Styela clava: one gene and its partner. The protein of the gene in region 2 purifies or fractionates together with the protein of the main gene of each other region. This does not show direct contact. Links are inferred from orthologs where the notes say so. Each region holds a gene or a part of one and is shown on either strand. Other genes may lie near its edges.

Evidence for each region.
Region 1: the proteins of serine/threonine-protein kinase Nek1-like (region 2) and cilia- and flagella-associated protein 410-like purify together in Homo sapiens (affinity purification with mass spectrometry; 3 studies listed by BioGRID and IntAct, with this or other methods). This does not show direct contact. The link is inferred for Styela clava from reciprocal best matches to the Homo sapiens genes NEK1 and CFAP410.

Annotation. Positions count from the first base shown.
Region 1 is NC_135252.1:14,882,454-14,893,863, reverse strand, and holds cilia- and flagella-associated protein 410-like, read right to left. Parts: upstream 4,277-11,410; 5' UTR 3,833-4,276; coding exon 3,753-3,832; intron 3,562-3,752; coding exon 3,543-3,561; intron 3,206-3,542; coding exon 3,159-3,205; intron 2,886-3,158; coding exon 2,760-2,885; intron 2,562-2,759; coding exon 2,455-2,561; intron 2,344-2,454; coding exon 2,176-2,343; intron 2,112-2,175; coding exon 2,018-2,111; intron 1,572-2,017; coding exon 1,331-1,571; intron 1,190-1,330; coding exon 1,127-1,189; 3' UTR 754-1,126; coding exon of another isoform or gene 721-753; 3' UTR 689-720; downstream 1-688. Other genes in the region: ATP-dependent DNA helicase DDX11-like, read left to right, coding at 486-621, 721-753; uncharacterized protein LOC120342376, read left to right, coding at 5,575-5,664, 5,990-6,130, 6,205-6,313, 6,437-6,564, 6,721-6,810, 7,045-7,129, 7,411-7,595, 8,024-8,437. UniProt on the Homo sapiens protein: Plays a role in cilia formation and/or maintenance. Plays a role in the regulation of cell morphology and cytoskeletal organization. Involved in DNA damage repair.
Region 2 is NC_135263.1:14,764,841-14,775,119, reverse strand, and holds the start of serine/threonine-protein kinase Nek1-like, read right to left. Parts: upstream 5,242-10,279; 5' UTR 4,821-5,241; coding exon 4,722-4,820; intron 4,627-4,721; coding exon 4,512-4,626; intron 3,422-4,511; coding exon 3,240-3,421; intron 2,688-3,239; coding exon 2,591-2,687; intron 1,876-2,590; coding exon 1,719-1,875; intron 1,163-1,718; coding exon 921-1,162; intron 598-920; coding exon 425-597; intron 1-424. UniProt on the Homo sapiens protein: Phosphorylates serines and threonines, but also appears to possess tyrosine kinase activity. Involved in DNA damage checkpoint control and for proper DNA damage repair.

The DNA of each region.
Region 1 (11,410 bases), on a different chromosome or scaffold from region 2:
CTCGATCTATTAAACCTTCATAAAGAATTTTCCAGTTTCTTCTGTGTGTTCATTGTTTATGTTTTGTGTACGATTTTTTTGCGGGAAAATCAAAATATACTTATTATACTTATATATTCTGCGATAGAGATAGAATTTAATATTCAAGTCTTCAAAAAAGATAAATTTTATTGTTGGATGAATTGAATTCCAAACTTTTGTGAATTTATTGTATTGCATTGACAAAAATATTTGTCCGGCCGTTTCAACACAGTTTGAGTCATACCCGGCCGCGGTCACCCTGATTTGGATCAAAGCACTACTGTGCATGATTATATTGGCATGATAAAATTTATAATCAAGATTTATCTTCTTATGTTGAAACAAGGCGTTAAAACAAGGCAATATAGGGTTCTGCCAAAGCTTCCTCTTTCACAAAAAGGAATATATCCACACCTAGAGAATCTTTAATGCAGACAGTATAGCACTGAAAACTTTTGTTTTAGAAATGACCATGCCTGCATTGTACTTGCCGATCATCGTTATGCAAAAATGAACATCAAATCCGAACTACCATCATGGATTTCTGACAAACTACAAGTTGCTGACAGATTTGGAATTGCATTCGGTGCTGTTCGAAAGGTATATTTCCAGCAATTTATGTATACTGCATTCATACAACCCTTTTATTACAATCAATCGAAGTCTCTCGTGATGATGAAAGTGTTTATTCTTTTGCAGTTTTTCATGGACAAGAAGACTGCAAGCAGATGAAATGATAGCGCAATTGATAAGAATGCTAAAAAGTATCGTAATCACAAATTACATTCCATTTTCAACATTCAACAGTACATCCCCCAATTTAAAATAGATATGCTTATTTATCATGATAGCTATGTTGTGTTCAATAACAGTTCCAGTCTACACCAATTATATTTACAGAGCAGATATTAAGTGACTACTGCATTTCGAAAGCAGCAAGTATCGTAGGAACGCAAATATTTTTGCACAGTGAGACAGACGGAACAATATAAAAATATATATGAATACACCTATAAGCTACAGTGAGGTTGTCATGATCTCCTTGCCTGCCTGAACAAGCAGTTTTTCCAATATAGAGCATGTCCGTAGATCGCAATTGATTATTTCAATCTGCAAGCATGGTTTCATGTGATGTATTCACCCCTTGTGTCATATCTTCATGGTTTTCCTGAACAAAAAAATTGACTTTTGGTGTTGTCCCATACAACTACTTTAAAATCATGTTGATTAGAGAGCTGTTTCAACTTCTTTTGCCCAGCAAGGGCACAGAATTCTAGACTATCATAGTCAATAAAAAAGCCTTCATTACCTCATGACTCATATTTTCTTCTCTGTGAATACTGTGCAATCTGTCTTGGATAGCATCTTGCAATGTTCGTAAGCTTTCTTCATCCAGTTCTTTTACCAATGACAATGTGGCAGAGAGAATGTTGATACTAGCTGTACTCTGTCCTAATGTTTCTCTTTGTGTATTTCGAGCTGTTGATTTACTTGTAACAATCTCTTGTTGTTGTGGTAATGGTCTCAATCCCAACTGTTTTCTCAGTTCACTGTCATTAATTAAGCGTTCATTCAAGTAGTCAGTATATGTTATCGGCTGTGTATCAAGTTTTTTCGACTAGGAAATATTTATCAACTTTCTAATATCCAAAAAAGATTTTTCACACGAACTAAATCTCGTATAATTTAATTAATAACCGGCAAAAACAAAATTTTGTTACAACTTTTGTGGGTGGGTTGGACTTTAAATTGTGTTGGCATCCTAGGTTCAAACCGGAAAATTTCGGTCATGCAAAAATTGTAGCTCATTGAATGTCATAGTATATTATGAGTGACTGCTTTTACTGGACTTGTTTAGAGTAAAAGGCATGAATATCTTCAACCAGCATCTCATCCTATGTTCCACCTCAACTATCATAGCGCATTACTATTTGATACAATACTCCTATTACGCTCTGGTATGGAAAGCAGACTAAGTTTTCCTTATTATACTAACTTTGTTTCATCCACTGGACAGTGATTATTTTCTTTGTTGTAGCCGGAATACTGATTTTCAGATGGTGAAAGTCTAGATTCTTCTGATTCTTTTTCTAAAAACATGTCATGGCGAGAACTGTTTGTAACATTAGATTCTCTTGCATAACAATAACTTACCTTGTTTATCAGATTCTGTATTTTCTTGATTGTCAATATTATTTACGAGGTAACAATTTACAGGAATAGCTTTATCTTTTGATTCATTTGTTTCTTCTGGGATGCTTTCTGGTTCCGTCAATTCATCACCTTCCTTTTTTGCTTTTTCTACCTCTTCAGCAGTGACAACTGCAAAGAAAAGTGACTGGATTTAAATTCTAGAACTGGTAAGCAGACAGGGGTTGTTTTTAACTGTATATAAAAATCAACCTCTGACAAGAATTAATAATGTGTCCTCACCTACATTGTCCAGCTTAGCAAGCATTGGCAGCACTTTTAAAACTGTTAGTCTGTATTTTGTATTACTGATGTCATCACAAAATGGGTTGTCCGAAAGCCAAAGAATCCTAAAAAAAAAGGCTAACTTAAGGTAAGCTTAGTACTATATATATTCATACATGGATCCTCTTTGTGCCCAATAAGTAAATAAAACATACAATTATCATTATTGTTTCTTTTAACATATTCTATTACATATATAATCCTATTTATTAGTATATGTATAATTGAGAAGGTTACATACAACTAATATTCAATAAAGATACCTTAATTCTGTTAGCTCTTTCAAATGGAGAACTTCATTCAAATTCTTTAAATTATTTTTCCTTAAATAGAGTTCTTTCAAATTGCAGCAATGCGATAAAGCTTGAAGGCTTTCAATGTTGTTTGCACTAAAAATAAAAAAAAGAATTTCAATCCACTATAAGATACTTAAATTGTTACACATTAATAACAGGAAATTTTTAAAAGTAAATAATTGAGATAAGTTTGTAACCATGCTTGAAAATAAGCGCCAACTTCCAATGAAATGGAAATCATGAGATCCAATGAATCCATCAAAATGAATCAATCCAATGAAATTTTTCGGATTGTAAAATATCTGCAGAAAAAATAAATACCGGTATGCGATATAAGCACAAAAATTTACGAGAAATGTAACTAACCTGGCGTTTATCACTTCAATGTTGTGCATTTTTCGAACAATTGTAATCTACAAAACATTAATAATGAGACAGTATAGCTATAAACTCCAATATAAAAAGACACTCAAGGTTCCATATGGATAGAAGTAAATAAAGCAAAGCATGCTTGGAAAAGTCAGTTTAGACGAGTTCAGTAAAATCTACAAAATTCTTCAAGAATCGATAACATCTAACAATTTTATGTATAATTCCACTAAGTAACTCTCACTATAAAAGATTCCGAAGATAATTCAAGTCAAATGGAACTAATCAAGACTATTTTACACTGGTATAAATGTGAAATATTTCGAGAGTGATAATAATGATTTATTTTATACACCTTACTAGGTATCATAAAATACTTACATCTGAAAGAGCACTGCCCCTGAAAAAGATAACATCAATTTAGCTATAAATCACTTTTGATTTGTGCAATGAGTTAAAACTTGTTTTTATTAGTACTGGTACAGTAGTATCTAAGGCTATAGAAATTTGAAACATTGCTATTCTATCCAGTATATTCAGCATCCAGTTTACAAAATTAATGAATGACTAGGGGCCTATACAGATTCTTACCAACAGTTTAGGTTCTTTACAGCACCCAAGCTTTTAGATCTTGCTCGTGCCAGCACTAGCTTTTCTGTGAGTTTTACCATATCTTTGTCATAAAGTAATCTTCTTATTAAAAAGATTGTGAAGCAACCTTGTTATTGATTGTATTTCTTCCAATTTTCCTCAGGTATTTTGGAAAAAAAATATTCTGATATTGGTGATACCGGTAGGCCTATTTATCAAAGTTAGTAATGAACTGAATAAAAAACAATAAAAAGTTGCCTATTTATTATACCAAATCCCGGTATCGTTAACTCCACCAGATCATAGGCTACTAGCGGCACCGGGTTCACCGGGAATTATGATTCCACAATGTGGATTACGGTACCCGGTACCGGTATGCAATAAATAAAAAACATAAAATAATAAATGAATAACAATGACCAAGTATACATAAATAACAAAACATTTCATTACAGTCAATTGATTGTATTTTCCATAGTTGAAATTAGTCACAGGTCACTATACAAGGCTACATCGCCGACCAGCGTACCTTGGTCCTTGGCTGCCTGGCTACTGGTAAATATAAATACAAAATCCCCAATGTTTGACTTGACCTTTGACACCGCGCCCTGTATTTTTTTTATGCAAACAGTGGTTGGGACTGGGTTTAAAATTTTTGCTAGTTTTTAAGCGCCAACTTCCAAAAACACTATTATAATAAGCACCAACAACTTTGCAAATATAGGATCAATTTTTCTGTGGTCGGAACTCGGAAAGCATCCTGAAGGTATATTTCCACACGGAGGCACTATTGAGCAAATGTACGCGTGTGGTTATTGTGGGTCCAGAGGAACTGCCATCGTTCAGCGAGCTTCGCCTTGCGCACTGAAGACGTGTAGCCTATTTCAATTAGTTTTGAACGCTTGGATTAGATCCATTACGGTTGTCCTGAAGCTAAGCTTTATGTAATTGCCATAGTATGCATAGACATATAAATTATGGGACCGTACAAGTACGGCGTCGGTAATTAGTTACCATACCAAACCCTTTTTTAGCTCACTCTGGTACCGTACCTTACCTCTGGTACCGTACTCTGGATATTGCATTTGGCTACTGTCAGACTGTGTGGTAAATTCAAATTTCAGATTGTCTGCATTTCTAGTAGTCTGAGTAGTGGTACCGTAACTTTTGTCAGTAAGCAACCGTCATCTTATTCAACGACTGAACGAGGAAATACCAAGGTACCGTACGCTGGTCGGCGATGTGACTAATTAACAGATTAAAGTTTCATTCAAATCAATTTCTTTTAACTTCCCCACCATCTTACGGTACCGGTACTTCTGTGTGGTGGTGTAGCCCACCGTGCTGAGCGTTAGGAAAACGCTCGCCACCGCACCTCTGAATTTTCTGCGTGGGTTAGCAGGTTCGAATCCCACGCAGGGATGGTTAAGTGCGAAAGGATTGCTGGATTCCTCGCCGCCGTAGAGTGGTTTATGTAACCGCAGGTCGGTTACGGCTTCCTTCATCAAGTCCATGCTTTCGAAAACAAATAGATTAACTAACTAATTCCATACCCGACATGAAATGGTAACCGGATGAGAGGCAGTGGTTCGCCATATGGCAGTGTGGTTAAGTGGTCTTATCAGCTTTCCTCTCCCCAGGATAAATATTTAAATCCTGTCGTAGTTATTAATAACCTAACCTTTGACTTAATGCAGTAACGCATGGCTGTGTGTATAAATGTGAAGATTTCACCAAACATTATTTTATTCTAATTCAATATCATAGAATTTCTTGATGTCTTCAGTTCAATAATTTATATGCTAGACCTGTAATCTGTAAAATGGGGAAGAAAACTCAAAGAACGCCAGAAGAACTCACACTTGAAAAAAAGAGAAATGAAGAATTCAAAGACAAGATTCGGGCAAGAAGAGTAAGTAACAACGCTTATAATATGATCATCATGACTGTGTGTGTAGAAGGTGATTTATACATGTAAAATGGGTTTTGAACATCCAATTCGAAATAAATCATGGATTAAACTTATGAATATGTTTAGATTAAATTAAAATAATGTGGTTAACTATTTAATTGTTGCCTCAATGAACTCATCAATCAAATCAAAATCACAGCAATAATTGGAGTCTCATTGTGTTGACAACTTATCTTCACAATGTTGACAACCATATTTCCATCAAAATTCAGGTCTGTTACACTCTAATACAATATTAATATCATTAACAATTTTCTCTTTGAAGGAAAAATTAGAAGCAAAAGGGAATCAACGGGGAGTTGTTCTTCTCAGTCATATTCCACTTGGGTTTTATGAACCACAAATGTATGAATATTTTTCTCAATTTGGAAGAGTTACAAGGTTAAAATTGATTCGGAGCAAAAAGGTTGGTCGTCAACTATTTTGTATATTTATTTTCATCTGTTCCAGGAAGTTATTTTTTATCACTGTTTGTTTCAGACTGGGAAGTCAAGACAGTTTGCTTTCATTGAATTTCAATTTGAAGAAGTTGCAAAAATTGCAGCTAAAACAATGAATAACTATTTAATGTTCCAAAAAATATTAAAATGTAAGTATACTTTATAGTATTATCAATTTTGCATTATCTTTAGTACCGGTATATCTCTATTTCACTGATTTTGGTAACCATGCTTAAAATTGTGTGAAAATCATATTTTGGTAAAAATTGCAGGCAGACTTATTCCTTTGGAAGAAGTGAAACCAAACACATTCAGTAACTGGAGGCTTATTAAGCGTGTACCTCAAAGTAGAACAAAAGATATCAAGAGACACAATCAAGATGTAACTGATCCTGAAAAGGTTTGATCAAACTTAATAGTCATCTTTGCCAAAATAAAATGCATGGTATTAAATTGCAGAAAACTGCTTCGAGATTTGCAATGAATTGGACTTTGACAGGTCCACATTGATTTTTAGTTTCGTTGACATTGTAATTCCTCACTGTTTTTTTTACAGATCCAGTTAAAATTAAAAAGGCTACGAAAAAGAAGAGGACTATTAAACAAAAAGCTTCGTGAGATGGATATAGACTATGATGTTATGAATGTAGGACAACAATGCCATTTTTATGATACTTGCTAAAATACCTTGTCCTCAAACTACAATCAGATTTCTTTTACTCAGCTTGTATTTGTGTATTGTAGTTCCGTATTGTGGATAACTTTTTAAAATTATAGATTTCTTCAACATGGTTTATATTACATCAGATCATGTAATGGTAAAGGTCTTATTTTCATTATCAATAGATATTATTTCAACTTGTTTGTATTTTATCTACAGATTAAAGTAAACGACTCATTTGTTTCCCCTGAAAGAACCCGTGCTTCTCCTGAAGAATTAGCAGATGTTTATGAGCCTATTCCAGGTACCATATATATTAAAATGATTGTATGCTGAGTGTTTTGTCTATTATTATAGTTAAAGCAAGGATACTCTAGCTTTGTAGGGTATAAATTGAGAAGGCATACGCTCAACTCAACGCTTCATCCATTACCTACAGAGCTGCTTCTTTATCATGTCGGCTCAAACTGCTTCAATGCTAGCGTCAACTGGCATTTAACAACATATTTCCTCATCTAAATATTAATATCCCAATTTCATATTTTCGAAACTTGCAGTAAAAATGATTTTTTTTCCAAAATTCAGATTCCATTGGAATGGAGTATCGGTATTCTGATGGTGAAGATTTTGATGGCAAACGCTCAAATACAAAGAAATTGGGAACTAATATAAAAAAGAAGGAAGAATCAAATGATAATAAAACTAGTGATACATCACTGGAGAATGGACCTAAAGTGCAGTCTACTGATACAAAAAGTTCAATGACCAAAGTATGCTGATTAACTTGAGTTGTTAATATTGTGCAGAATCATGGTTTCATAGGTCAAAAAGTATCGATTTATAAATATGTACATTATCAGTTTTGGCTTTTTTCAATATCTGAATATCTTATTTAGCTTTCAGGTTTCAAATGAGGATAATGATAATTGAAATTCTATAGTTGAACAAGATACGACTTGTATGTCATAGGTCAATGGGACAACTTCATCGTCTATTCTACAGCCTCTAGTCAACAGTCCATGTCTGATATGGGAATGAATAGTTACTTGAAAGTCACTGTAGACCCAATTATCTCGATGTTGCAAGTTACATGATGCTCATTAAGCATTGGCTGATATTATAATCAATCATGTTTACTTATTCGTGTATGATTTATGATAACATACCATTCTAGTTTCCTCATGAATTTTTACTTTAGGATGATGAGGAATTTGGTGTTATGGTTGTTGACCTGGAAGATCCAGAAGTGACTTTCAAAAGTCCTCCAACGAAGTCAAATATAAAACTAAAGTCTGTTGGTGTTTCTAGTACAAGTAAAAGAAAGCGAACGGAGCTTGCTAATGAAGATAATTCAGTTATTGAAACATCGAAGGAATCTGTAGATAACACGCCACTTTCTGCAAAGCAGAAAAGATTGTTGAAAATTGAAGAACTGAAAAATGCTTTAAATTCAAAAGAGGATGGCGATGACTCTCTAAAAAGTGAGAAATCTGGGAAAAAAATCATGAAGTCTGTTGAGACACCAACACGCCAGATTAGGAAAAAGTTACCAAGAAGTGCAAAAAAGCCTAAAATCAAAACAGGTGCTAATTCCTTAAATAAAACCATGTAATTCCTTTACTGTTATGGTAATCCTTTTTTGCTTTCAATGGTCACTGACTTGAGAATGGAAACAAACGTTTGGAATCATAGGTGATACCTGAGAATAATGCTAATGCACCCTAATGGCTAATATGAATAAATTGGCCCAATATAAATTGGTTGATAGTATGTTTTTGTGCGAGTTCAATAGGCGTCTGGTCAAAATTAGAGATTTTGAGCAAATTTGTATGGTGGTCATTAAATATAGATAAATGCTTATTGTTGTGTTTGAGAAATTAAGTTGGCAGCACTGCCACTCCACAGGCAGGAATGACACAACAGTTTTTGGACTGTAGTTCGCATCGGTGGCAGTCGAGTTCTGCAATTAAACGAAAGGTGATTGGGACCTGTTAGCCTTCATTCAAGATATACTGTGTAGATATACCCTCAATACCTCCCGTGTTACTGAAATTACACCCCCGCTGGGAATTCTGCAGCATGTTTGGGTAAAAACGAGGAGAAATTTCTCTGCTATCGCCACAAATATTTTATGGCTATTCCCAGGACTTCCCCCATTTTGTATATGTTTTAACAAACCTTTCTAAATCTTCGTCTTTGCTTCTGGAAACTTAACACCTTTGATCACCTTTTGAAATTGCAGGAATGTTCTGATTCTTTGAATGAGTGTCCTGCCATTACTCACATCTATAATTTTCTAAAAATCATCAGTTCCGGAGTTACACAGGTTGCAATTCTTAATCATGTAGTAATTTTCATTAACATTCATAAAATCTTATTTGCCACTTAGTCCGATATAATGCAGACACATAACCACGCTTTGCATACGCGCGTGAAACGAAATAGGTTGTACACAATCACTAGATATGCAGTACTTGAAGTCCACAAATAGAAACATGTTGCGACGAGAATCTTGCAGGTTCTTTGCGGATAGAATTTCCTAATAATAAATCAAGTATTTATTTTGACGCTTATTTTCGGAATCCTCTTTATTCATTAACGCTTAACCTTAAATCAATCTAAACCAGTGGTTTTCAACATTTTTTTATTCCGCGGAACACTAAATCATAGTATCACAAGGTCATAATAAATCATCATCGAAAATAGACGATTAATTAATAATTACGGTCATTCATTTTGTCTTAGATATCGAAAAAGATAGATAGCTTATTGACTCTAGTTGGAAAGAGACGTAATAAATTCAAAACGAGAATATCGGTCAGAGACGAACACTTATCGATCGAAAGTTAGGGGATCCCCAAAACAGCGCTCTTACTCCATAGTGGCACCTTGTGTCCCATCACTAATTAATAACTCGCTAATTATACGGCATAATTCATCCAAAATCAATATGCTTCTGATCCGAGATGTGATGAATGCATATGCAAAATTTGGAGCGGATTCGCTTTCGTGAGATATCGCGTGTATCTAACAGACAAACACCTATCAACATACTTACCGATCTTAAGATCGATAAGTAATTAGGATACGAAGAGCTTAATACGAATAACACTTTATCAAAATCGGTTCACAAAGAGCTGAAATAACTAAACGAGAATTGTCTGAGACAGGCTTTGGGTAGCTTGTAATAACGATGGCATTTTAATGTTATATTTTGGCTTCTTTCGTTGGATGCGGGTTTTCTCTTTTATTCAGGGATTGAGAAAAGAAAAACACGCAGTTATTCTTCAATGTTTTTTATCTTTAATTTTGCTATCTAATCGTGATCATTCGATTTCTACTTTTTTTTAAAAGTAAAACACTTTAACCGGGTAAAATTACCCGGTTAACCGCAGCGTGATGCTTGACACTATAATTTTAGCCTCGTATGTCACAATGGTTCCGAAGCAATTTCGCTAATCTTATCCTGGTATCGCTCAAAGTTCTCAAGGATTAGGATAGTTAATGATCGCTCTACTGAATGGTTTTTAACCTCTTTTCTTTCATCAGTTGCACAAATAAATCTATGGCCCCCCGACTTTCCCATTCAAGGGAAATACTTCAAAATGAACAAAAAGTTTTTTCGCAAAGATAGACATTTCCACGTTATTATTATTATTTAAAAGAGAATTTCCAGCTAAAGAGCAGCAGCACCCACCATTCATTGCTACAACAATCGAAGTTTAACTAATTTATCGTTAATTCTGACAATCTTTAATAGGTTTGTGGCTAACCTGAAAGTGTTTCTATGGCCCAGAAGTGGGTCATGGCCAACTGGTTGAAAACCGGTGCTCTGCTGCAAGAATGCTGCGTATATCGGACAAATGGAAGTATTTTAGTAAAACCCCATCGCGTTATTAAAAGTCATGCATGTGACAAAAATTCAGTGTTCGATGTGAAACTTCTACTTTGAGCTTGAGATATTCAACACGACCAGAAATATTAATTTAAATCTTTCGTCACCACTTTCCGAATATGTCAATAGGCTAACGGGGTTAGATAACTATTAAGCCAAATAAGCACGTGTTTAGGGCATCAAGAAAAAGAGGCACCCCAGAAATTTTCATAGTCGAATTTTTAATGGCCTCTGATTGTTTAATGAAATAATTCGAATTGGTCTAACGACTCAGACCTCAATATTGTCCCGGTTAAAATAAATTTTTTCATACTGTAAATGTTTGTAGGAATGGGAACGATTTCCAAAAAATATGCGAATTATTCATAATTTGGCCTTCAAACAGTAATGACTACTGCTCATTTATTGGACACGTCAGTGTACATAACGATCGTTTCAATATTATGTTGTTGTTTTTGGACACGTAGTGGACATAACGATCGTTTCAATATTATGTTGTTGTTCTTGTTCTTTGACACGTTTTTAAAAAGTCGCTTTTCTCTTCGAATACTGCACCAATTGCTTTGAAATTTTCAGTGGTTGAAGATAAAATTTTTCTCCAGAAGGCTGTTACTTTTTTTTTCGCTATGACGTCATCAAAATTATTGCCATTGGGTGGCGCTACGTGTCCATATATTTGAGCATAGCTCT
Region 2 (10,279 bases):
TCATATACAAATAAACAGGCAATCTAGAATTATAGGATAGGATTTACATATTTATCCCAGGGGAGAGGAAAGACGATAAGACGGCTTATCCATATGGCGAACCACGGCATATGCTATGCCAAAACTTTTCATTTCAAATAACTGAAATTTCAAATAGATGCATTTTTGCAAAATAAATCTGTAGGAATTGATTTCCTGGAGCCAGTCAAAAGTAAACAGCGAGTTTGCTAGAATGGAAAATTTCAACAAAAAAAAAATCAATTCAGATTACGAGCATTTTTGAAAATGCTTCGTCAGATGCACAACAAACCTATTAATCGTAATTCTGAAATATCGACTTGAAATCAATTAAATTCACCCTCTCTAATCATCTCAATCTATTTTTTGAGATCATGCTTTGAGCAAACAATATATAAAGTATAACCTTTTCCATTTCATATTCACTTTTCTTTTTCTGTTCAGCGAGTCTTCTATATCTGACAGCAGCACTGCTTGGTCTGGGTGCTGCAACAGATGGTCCATATATTCCTGCTATTTGTTTTGCTCGAGCATCAACAGGACTTTTCACACCTTTAGGTTTATCATCAGGTTTTTTACCTTTGTACAAAGAAGAATACTGTGAGAGGTAGATTTCTACTTTACTCATTTAAGATAGTTGTTATATCGCCTAAATTCAAGATACAGAGACAAGGTGTGGTGAACGACCCCCGACCCCTTGACCCCAGAAAAAATTTTCCTATACTTTACCTTTACAAAATTTTAATTTTTATGGTTATTTTAAGAGTTCCACTAAATCAAGCAAATATGCAAAGATAAATGTATGAATAATTCTGATATCAACTTTGTCCTGTGTTCAAGAATCACTGAGAAGAAGATATTATTCATTTCAAAATATTCTGAAATTCTATAAATCCACTCACGTGCAGCTACTGGAGCAGATATTGGCCTCGGATTTGGCTTTCTATTCTTATGAAGAACTGTGTGACTGAATTCATCCTCGTGTTGTTCAGGTGTCAGAAATTTTACTGTATGTTTCTTAATAAATGGTTGCCGTAATATTGTATTTACAGATGGTCGATCTCGAGGATTTCGTCGAAACAGTTGACTGACTAAACCCCGAAGATCATATGAATACCGAGGCGGAACTGGAGGATAAGATCCCCTGGGAAAAAAGTGTTGGACATTGAATGGTAAAAATAGGAGATAGAGACTAAGCTTTGATAGTTATTATTTTGCGTTAAAAAATTTTGTTATCAAAAATTCAATTTATTTGAATTCGATTAATATTGCTACATTAAATGTATATACATAATAAAATGAATTGTATATCAATATGTATCGCATAAACGTTAGGCCCTATGGGATTTTTTTTCATGTTTGGGAGAATTTGCTCATTCAAACTCACTTAGAAGGAACACTCATCTCTGAGTGAACACTGGGTAATTACTGAAATGCCAAGAGATACTGAAACTTAATATATTAATGATGGTTTAATTACTTGGCACCAAATGCCGCAAGCATTGAAGCAGTTCAATCAGGATCAGGGGAAATATTGCAAACCCATAATTTGTGATGGTCAAAAATCAGACAATAATGTCAAACTGGTGATTTTTTTATCACACAGCTATTTATTTCATAATTATTACCTAATTTGGCAACATACTCAAACTATGATTTCAGAGGTGCATGAATTAAAACCATATGTACAGTATGGTTACCTGATAATTTTCAGTACAAGATTCTTCATATTTCCAGCTTCAAATGCATGTTTTAATGTGAGAACTTCATACAAAACACATCCCAATGCCCAAACATCACTCTTGTTATTATAAGGTTTGTTTTCGCAAATTTCAGGACTCAGATAGTAAGGTGTTCCTGAAGCGAAAATTATTCAGCACTTTCATAATGATTCATACATGCATGATCAGGGATGTCTAAAATTAATCGGTCATACGAATACATTTGACATTAATTGTATTTGATATAGCATATTGATATAGTTGGATTTTTGAAATACAGTGAATGATTCAAATAAAATATATGGACAATGTCCAAAACGATATTGATATAGTTGGATTTTTGAAATACAGTGAATGATTCAAATAAAATATATGGACAATGTCCGAAACGATATTGATGTAGTTGGATTTTTGAAATACAGTGAATGATTCAAATAAAATATATGGACAATGTCCAAAACGAAGTATTACGGGTAGCAATTTGTTACAGTAGATTATAGGTATGGCAATCTTCAAAACTAACGCAAAAGTAGAACCGCCACAAGATGCGCAATTTTTCATGATCTCATTGCACACAGAAATATTTTATATTTTGTCTTTATCATGTTTAATCTTTAATATGTACATATTTAAATAATTATTGTTGTTTAAGTAAGCGTTTTCTTAATATTTAAAATAAGCATTGTGTGTTGAAATTCCTTGTGAAAAAACACAATTTCAAACAAAATCTTACCTAGGGATGCCTGAAATGGATGGCCTATGGATAACAAAAAACTTAATATTTAGATAAAATTTTAAATGCTATTATTGTAATGCTTCATTTCAAATAATATAAAAAATACCAATTTTACCAATGCATGTTCTCGCGAGTTCAAGTGTATTGTTTAAAACTCTGGCAATTCCAAAATCACCAAGCTTAATTGCTCCACTTTTTGTGAGAAATATATTCTGAAAAAAATAAAATAAAAATGTGTAATTAACCCTATACCCACCACCTCACCCAGGGTTAGCATTCCTTGAAGTTAGTATTTTAATTTTCTAATGGACATAAAAAACGGTTCAACAAAAACCTAAACACATTAATTAGGTTTAAAGCATTGTTGATATAGAATTAACAGGAAGCATGAATACACCCACAGTATTTGTAGTCAAAATTTGGTTTCATCAGAATTTAGAGCTCGAGTCAGAGCCAAAAATTTTTTCAACACAAGGTCGGTAGTCAAGGTCAGAGTAGTTATTTTTAAAAGACAATCATGCGAAACAATGGGAATACGCTCGTCGCCGCACCTCTAATTACTCTGCGTCGATTCAAATCCAGATGGAGAGAATTATGTATATCATAGCAATAGCTACAAGGTGTATCAAATTGACTATATCAAGTAATTCTTCATCACATTGTAACATACAGAGCTCGAAGTTACAGAACTTTTAAGAGTTTGTCAGAATAACAAATATCAAGTAATTCTCGATCACATTGTAACATACAGAGCTCGAACTTACAGAAGTTTTAATATCTCTGTGTAGAATTTTTCGATCATGAACATGTTTTAATGCAAGGCACATCTGCACAAACCATTCCAAAACTTTAGTTTCCGAGAACGCCATCCCACGTTGTGAATTAATTCTTGCATACAGATCACCTCCCTCACAATACTCCATCACAATGTAAAGACATCCACTCTCTGGAAAAATTGAACGTAAGGTTTATCAAAAAATAGGCAATTTTTTATCAAGTATTCTCACACCTTGACTCAATGCAAGACACTGCAAATGTAGCAACTGACCACATAAAAGAATAATATAGCCTATTATAAAAAAAAAAGCAAATTCCTGGTATAAGATCGATTTTGATCTCAACGATTTCAAAGCAAAGAAGACAAAATTCATAGATATTTTTTCCCAACCAATATTTATCCTGAAAATGTCCAAAAGACTTCGCTAAGGGCAGCAATAAGTCATAATCCAGCCAAAATTCTCATTGTTAGGGGAAGTAAACTATTTCAAATGCAAAAGTAGTTCTGTTGTTTGTTCACCCTTCAATGAATCAAATGAGTTCATTCGAATAAATCTATGTTATGTATTTGATAATTCACTGTTTACTTGACAATGCAAACTTTAAAGTAAATGCCAAGCACTATGAACTGCCATCTCTATCACAGGGTATAACTATATACATATAATGTATAGATATTGTTGAAAGAAAATGAGCTAATCTTATAGTCTTACAAGATGAAGATATTATATTGAGTTACAAGGGAATTGAAGATGAATAATAAAAAAAAGGTGTTGCCAATGCAAAAAAATATTATTTATATTTCTATAATACGGTTCTAGTGTAATTAAAAAAACAATTCATATTATATACAAACCAACAAATTCTGCCAAAAGCTATACTGTACTCATATGCGCACAAATTCTATTGGTAACTTTTCTGTACATAATTGATATCTTTTGAATACAGTCATGAAGTAGTATTCAATTTTATGCACAGATCCCATTCCTAACAAAAAGGATAACTTTGAAATTTGAATTTGAAACCACACACAGTAGGGCACAGTTCTCTGATTCGAAGATGTTCCAACATTTAAATTATTTAAGGTCGTCATGTGACCAAAGTTTCGTTTTTGGCTAAAAACTCTCGATTGCGACAGTGAAATTTATGGGGCTATTGTTGGAATTGTAGAACTGTGCTGACACATGAACACTGAAACATGACAAATTCAGACATCGAACCATTTAAGGGCATAATATTAAAGAGTAGACAAGCTTCACCTTCAAACGATTCCACATATTGCACAATATTTGGATGTCGCATCTTTGACAATACACCGACTTCTTTTCGGGCTTCTTGTCTTTCTTTCATTTGCATTTTTGAAATTGAAATTTCCTGTAGAACGTGTAAAATTTTAGCATTTCAACATTTAGAATTTTTGAAACATGCTCAAACAAAATAGTTAGATTATTATAAAAATTGTCACACACTTTAACCACGTATTGTAGGCCATCTTCTTTGCTTTTCACGAGAACGGCTTTTCCAAATGATCCTTCTCCAATTTTCTTCACCCTCACATATTTATCCATTATGATTTCCTAGTAGCTTTTAAGGTTTTAGATAACCGTCTCACTTTCCTGTTTAAGCCACTCGTTTTAACCTGTTACAATACCAAGCTGAAAAGTCTAGCAGAATACTGGAATATTGTTGACTTGATCTAGTCGCTTAATTCAGTACCTATTTATTCCTAATCCAGTAATAATGTACTGTCGAATGGGGGTACGGAATTCCAATAATTTTAACATCTTTTACAGTATTGGAAGTCTGACCACCAGATTGTTGAGATGCGACCATGTTCACTCGTGGACGCCATCACAAGACTGCAAGATACAGTCATACAAAAATTCAAAGTGAAAAACGAATCCCTTAGACAACAATAAGAAAAGCAACAACAACATAATAAAAAAATTATCCATAGGCCCATTTCGTATCCAAAAATTCCAGAGTCGACCGTCCGAGAAACACCAATCTATTTTCGGGTCTTATGTAGTTTCGTACCTAACATACTTCTAGTGGGCGTAGCATGACAATTTATTCACAAATCAATCCTAACCCCCACCTGACTACACCATCCAAAAATTACGTCAACACGTCGTCACAGTGACGTAATAGAGCCCTTCAAACTATACGAACTGCCATCCAAGACGCGCAAGCACCCGAAATCGAACAGTTCTGCAGTTATTTCTCTCGTTTTCTCGTCGCAACGATTCCAATAGGAGAGAGATCGATATTGTCAGTCAGTTCTTTATCGTCGGCGCCAATGCCATTTCGGGCGATTGTTCGTATACCGTATTTGGCAAGCTCTATGACGTGATTGTGATGTCGTAGTGAGGTACCGTAAAACCGGCTAACTTCGGATGCCTTGTAACTTCGGATGAAATTTTCAATCATTCATATCTCAACTAAATTTTGTCGTATTGCGCTTCTGTCGGTTTCTATAGTAAGGCCTTACATATCTGAATCTGCCGTAGCCTCCAATCGCTCGATTTGATTTTATATCATTCAAAAAATCATATTTTACCAAAAATATGACACCGTTTTTTCGAGCGGCTCAAATCGTGACTTCTACAGACGCTACCTTCGTCAAATCACCGCCAAGCGCTAGAGAGCGTACACAATGTATACAAAAAAATACAGTGATCACAGGGTGTCGTACGAGATTCGAGTGAAATCGATTATTTTGATTTAAAAATTACATCAAAATATCGACGTTTTGATGATTACGTACAGCGTGACGTCTACGACGCAAATCCCTTTCTCTCTCTTCGTAGCCGACGTCACTTTGCGTAGCTCGTGCGTTACTCGCTGAGACATTTGAACGCCAGACATCGCGGCGCCCAGTTTTGTGAAATTTAAAAATTATGCTTATCCATGATCCTAGTCACTAAATCCTACAAAAACATCACTATCGTCTCAGTCATATGTTGTTTATTTAAAAATATGGGTATGCATACGCTTAATGCATGTGAAATTTGTCGATTTTTGTTTTTGCATACTTCCTCCGACACCGATAGATACCGTAGCAATTGGTAATACGTTAGGCCTGAAACATGTATCTATACGATCATAATGATTAGATATGTCTGTTTACGCTCGGCAGATGATAATAATATCTTTAACAGGTGAGCGTAGAACTCTACATAGATGCACACAGCAGGAGGTTGGACCACATACAGGTGAGGCGCAAAATGAAAAAAAGTGGCGAAGTTTCTTTTTGCCGTTTTTATCCGTTTATTGTCATTTGACTTTATCTATCTACCTGTGAACACATTAAATCTGATCTATCAATACGATGCCAAAGCGAACTTACAACTCCTGCAATAGCGAGGACTTGCAAAAGGCTATGGCTGATGTTAGAGCAGGGATGTCGGTTGCGAAAGCTGCAGCGAAACACATTGGTTCCACAAGAACTGTTGCAAAGACCCGTCTAACCCATGTGGAAATGATTACAATTCTTGATTTTGCCAACGTTTCCTTCAATTCATTTGTTTATTTTTAACTGTCGAATTTTTGTTCATACCTTACTTGTTCCATATTGCTTTTTGATTTCAATTTTTACTTTTGCCAGTGTTTCATTCGATTCATCCGTTTATTTTTAATTGTCTAATTTTTGTTCATTCTCTACTTGTTCCATATTGCATTTCAATTTCAACCTACACCAGTGTTAGGTACTTTCAATTCTTCCGTTTTTTTTTTTTTGTTAATCCTTTTCTTGCATTGAAAATAAACGATCATAAAAGAACGAACTAGCATTTTGCAATAAATTAGGAGTAGTTAGTGAATATATACGAGTTATAATAAAGGACACAAGAATAAATAGTTAAGCTTCGCGAAGCGGCAAGAGTAACGTCACGTACAAACGTCAGTATGCAACACGCAAGACGGGTCGTGGCGGCGTAAGGTCTATTCAGCGACGTTGTCACGCGTCATTGCTTACGCAGACATTTCTCTCTCACGACGAGTTGACGCAAAGAGAAAAGTGGCCATCCGAAGTTAGATAATTTTAGAATAGACGAATAAAGACAATAATTTCAATGAAAAAAGGCTTTGATGGGTATGGAACCGACTTTATCAAGACGAGAATAGCCACAATGTATTATATTCCAAATTTGGCTTCAGTTGAACAACATGCGGCGGAGATATTGTTCAAAATATAGTGAAATCATCCGAAGTTAGCCGGTTTTACGGTAATTTTTGGATGGCGTAGTCAGATGGGGGTTAGGATTAAAATATTGTCATGCTACGCCCACTAGAAGTACGTTAGGTACGAAACTACACGAGACCCCTATTTTCAGTTGACATTCAGACATTGGTGACGACCTCTATGACATTGGACATGGTAGAATTTTGATAACTAAGTAGGCCTATAGTTTTTAACCACAAAATGGTACTTGAAGTAGTTTGGGTCAATTCGTAACAAAATAACCTTCCTGCTTGCATTAATCAAAAAATAGCCACAAAAATGTCTTATATACAAGAGGCATTCACTTATAAGAATGCAGAACTCCAGAAAGCGTCGCTTCGTCATGACAATGACAAACCTAGTTCCGAATAATATTTTTCAAGAATTTGATCGCACGAAACCACAGACTTTACGCTTCAATGCACTCCAGTAATAGAAATCAATAGAATGTATGAAATTTTTATGTGTTATTTTTATGTGTTTATGTGGATAAAAAGTGATGTTTTTATTAATAATAAAAAATAAAAAAATGTATGAAATTTTATAATTCGTATAGACAATATGACTTTTTCAAATGGTGGTAATTAAAACCATGATATTCAAAATTCTAAAAAATGATTAATAATCTTGATCTAATTCAAAATTAATAATTAAAAAAAAAAGACCGAAAATTTTGTACGATTGAATTATAGTAGTAAAAAGTATATCGAAATTCCCGCGTCAGACGGAAGCCGATAGGACAGCTTAATCATATGCCGAACCATGTTCTCGAGTCCGATTACCAGTCTAATATCGGGTATGGGATTAGTTAGGATGTCAGGTAGTTATTTGTTTTCATGCTTGAGGATGCCGTTAGTGAACCACTCTGCGACGGCGAGGAGTCTAGCAATCCTCTCGCACATGGTTATCCCCAGGGTAATTAGAGGTGTGCTGGCAAGTCTATTCCCTGACGCTCATCATTATGCGCCACACTGCCAAGCAAATACAGAGAAGTCTAGTCTCCGGAAACAAGTCTGTTAACTTTTTATTCAATTTCATCCAAGCAACTTTGTGAGGGAAGGACAGTGTATCACACAACTAATCATTTGTTTATCGTGCTGCAGAAATGCTCTGACCAACTAAATGATGAATGTAAAACTTAACATTAAAAAAGGAATTGCCTATGAATAATAAGCAAACACCCCTGCACTTTGCCAAACTAAGCTGCTGAGGCTGGACATATTATAGCAACAGGACCGCACACATACGCATCTTGATTAAACTAAACCTGTAGCCCCGATCACAAAAGAAAAAAACGAAGTCTAGAGATTGACATTTACTAAGCATTCAAATCGAAATCAAAAAACAAACACCATATAATACTTTACTCAATACAACAAATTACATGTCTACAGTGCAAGAATAATAAGCCGCAGAGATAGACAATCTTTCTAAAAACAAGTATGCAAATCTACCAACATCACATGAAGGGTATAACACAATATGAATGAATACACTATGCTGAAATGAAGAATCTACTAAAATTATACCACAGGAATAAGCAATACCAAATAGCCCACACTACTCAAATAGAATTATTTAAAACAACCTTCATAATTCTTCATATGCGCTTCAATAGAATTCTCTACGTGATAAAAAAAAAAAAAAATAATAAATACAATCTTTTAACAAATTTTTTGAACAGTCAAACATTGATGCATACAAAACATAGATCTGTAAAATATTTTCATCAATGCCATAAGAATTGCAGACGCCACTTATGTTCAGTTCATTCACTAACCCCTAAATCACAAATTTTATTCCAAACATTTAATGAAATCAATGTTATCATTCAGCATCAAAATTTACTGAAAACAAAACTACGCCTACCCTTTTAAAAAGACAAACAAAACAGGCAAGAAGCAGGTTATCTAGTCTAGATCTAAGTATTCACCATTGCAGTAAAGACAACAAAACTAAAATTTAGTTATTGCACATATTAATAAAACCGATATTGAGCAATGATTCAAAATGGCAAAACATAATAGATTGTTATAAAAATACACACATGAAGGTCTCCATATAGGCATGAATATCCCAGAAACTACCTTATGTCCTCTGGCATTGGATATTGCAATTAAAAATGCACCCAGGACCTCCTCACAACAAGTTTTGAAGAGGGCACAAACACAGCTAGTTTTGTTATAGATTATATGTAATAATTCTCTAGCTGCTGAGACAGCACACAGCAGATCAAAATAAATTCTCTTCACTCAATTTATCTTCTTGAAACAAGTGGTGTAAAGTTTTTATCACATTTACAAGCATAAACATATCACCAAGTCACTGAACATATACTACAAGTCAGGGATGTGCAACCTTCAATACAGAAGGGCTATATAGAAATAACAGGGTGAAACTGTGGGCTGCACCTTTATTTAATAACATGCACTACCTAATAATTGCAGGCACAAAAATTTTGGATATTGATCTTATGACATGCTTTAGCTGTTAAGGCATAGATAGCATATTGGACTCAGGTATAGGCTTCGCTTCACAACACAAAGACATTTGAGTCACTATCATGTACCAAATTAAATTAAAAACTCTTTTCCTGGGCCGCACATTATTTCAAAATTGTAATTCTCCTCAGGCCGCACAATTTTTTATTGAGAGCCGCATTTGGCCCGCAGGTCACAGGTTGCACACCCCTGCTATTAATAAACAATTCTTCTAAGTACTGGAACCAATTTTTTGAGTTGCTCTTCATTACTACAACAATACAATAATTGTAAGGAACTGAGCCATAAACAGAGGAAAATCAAA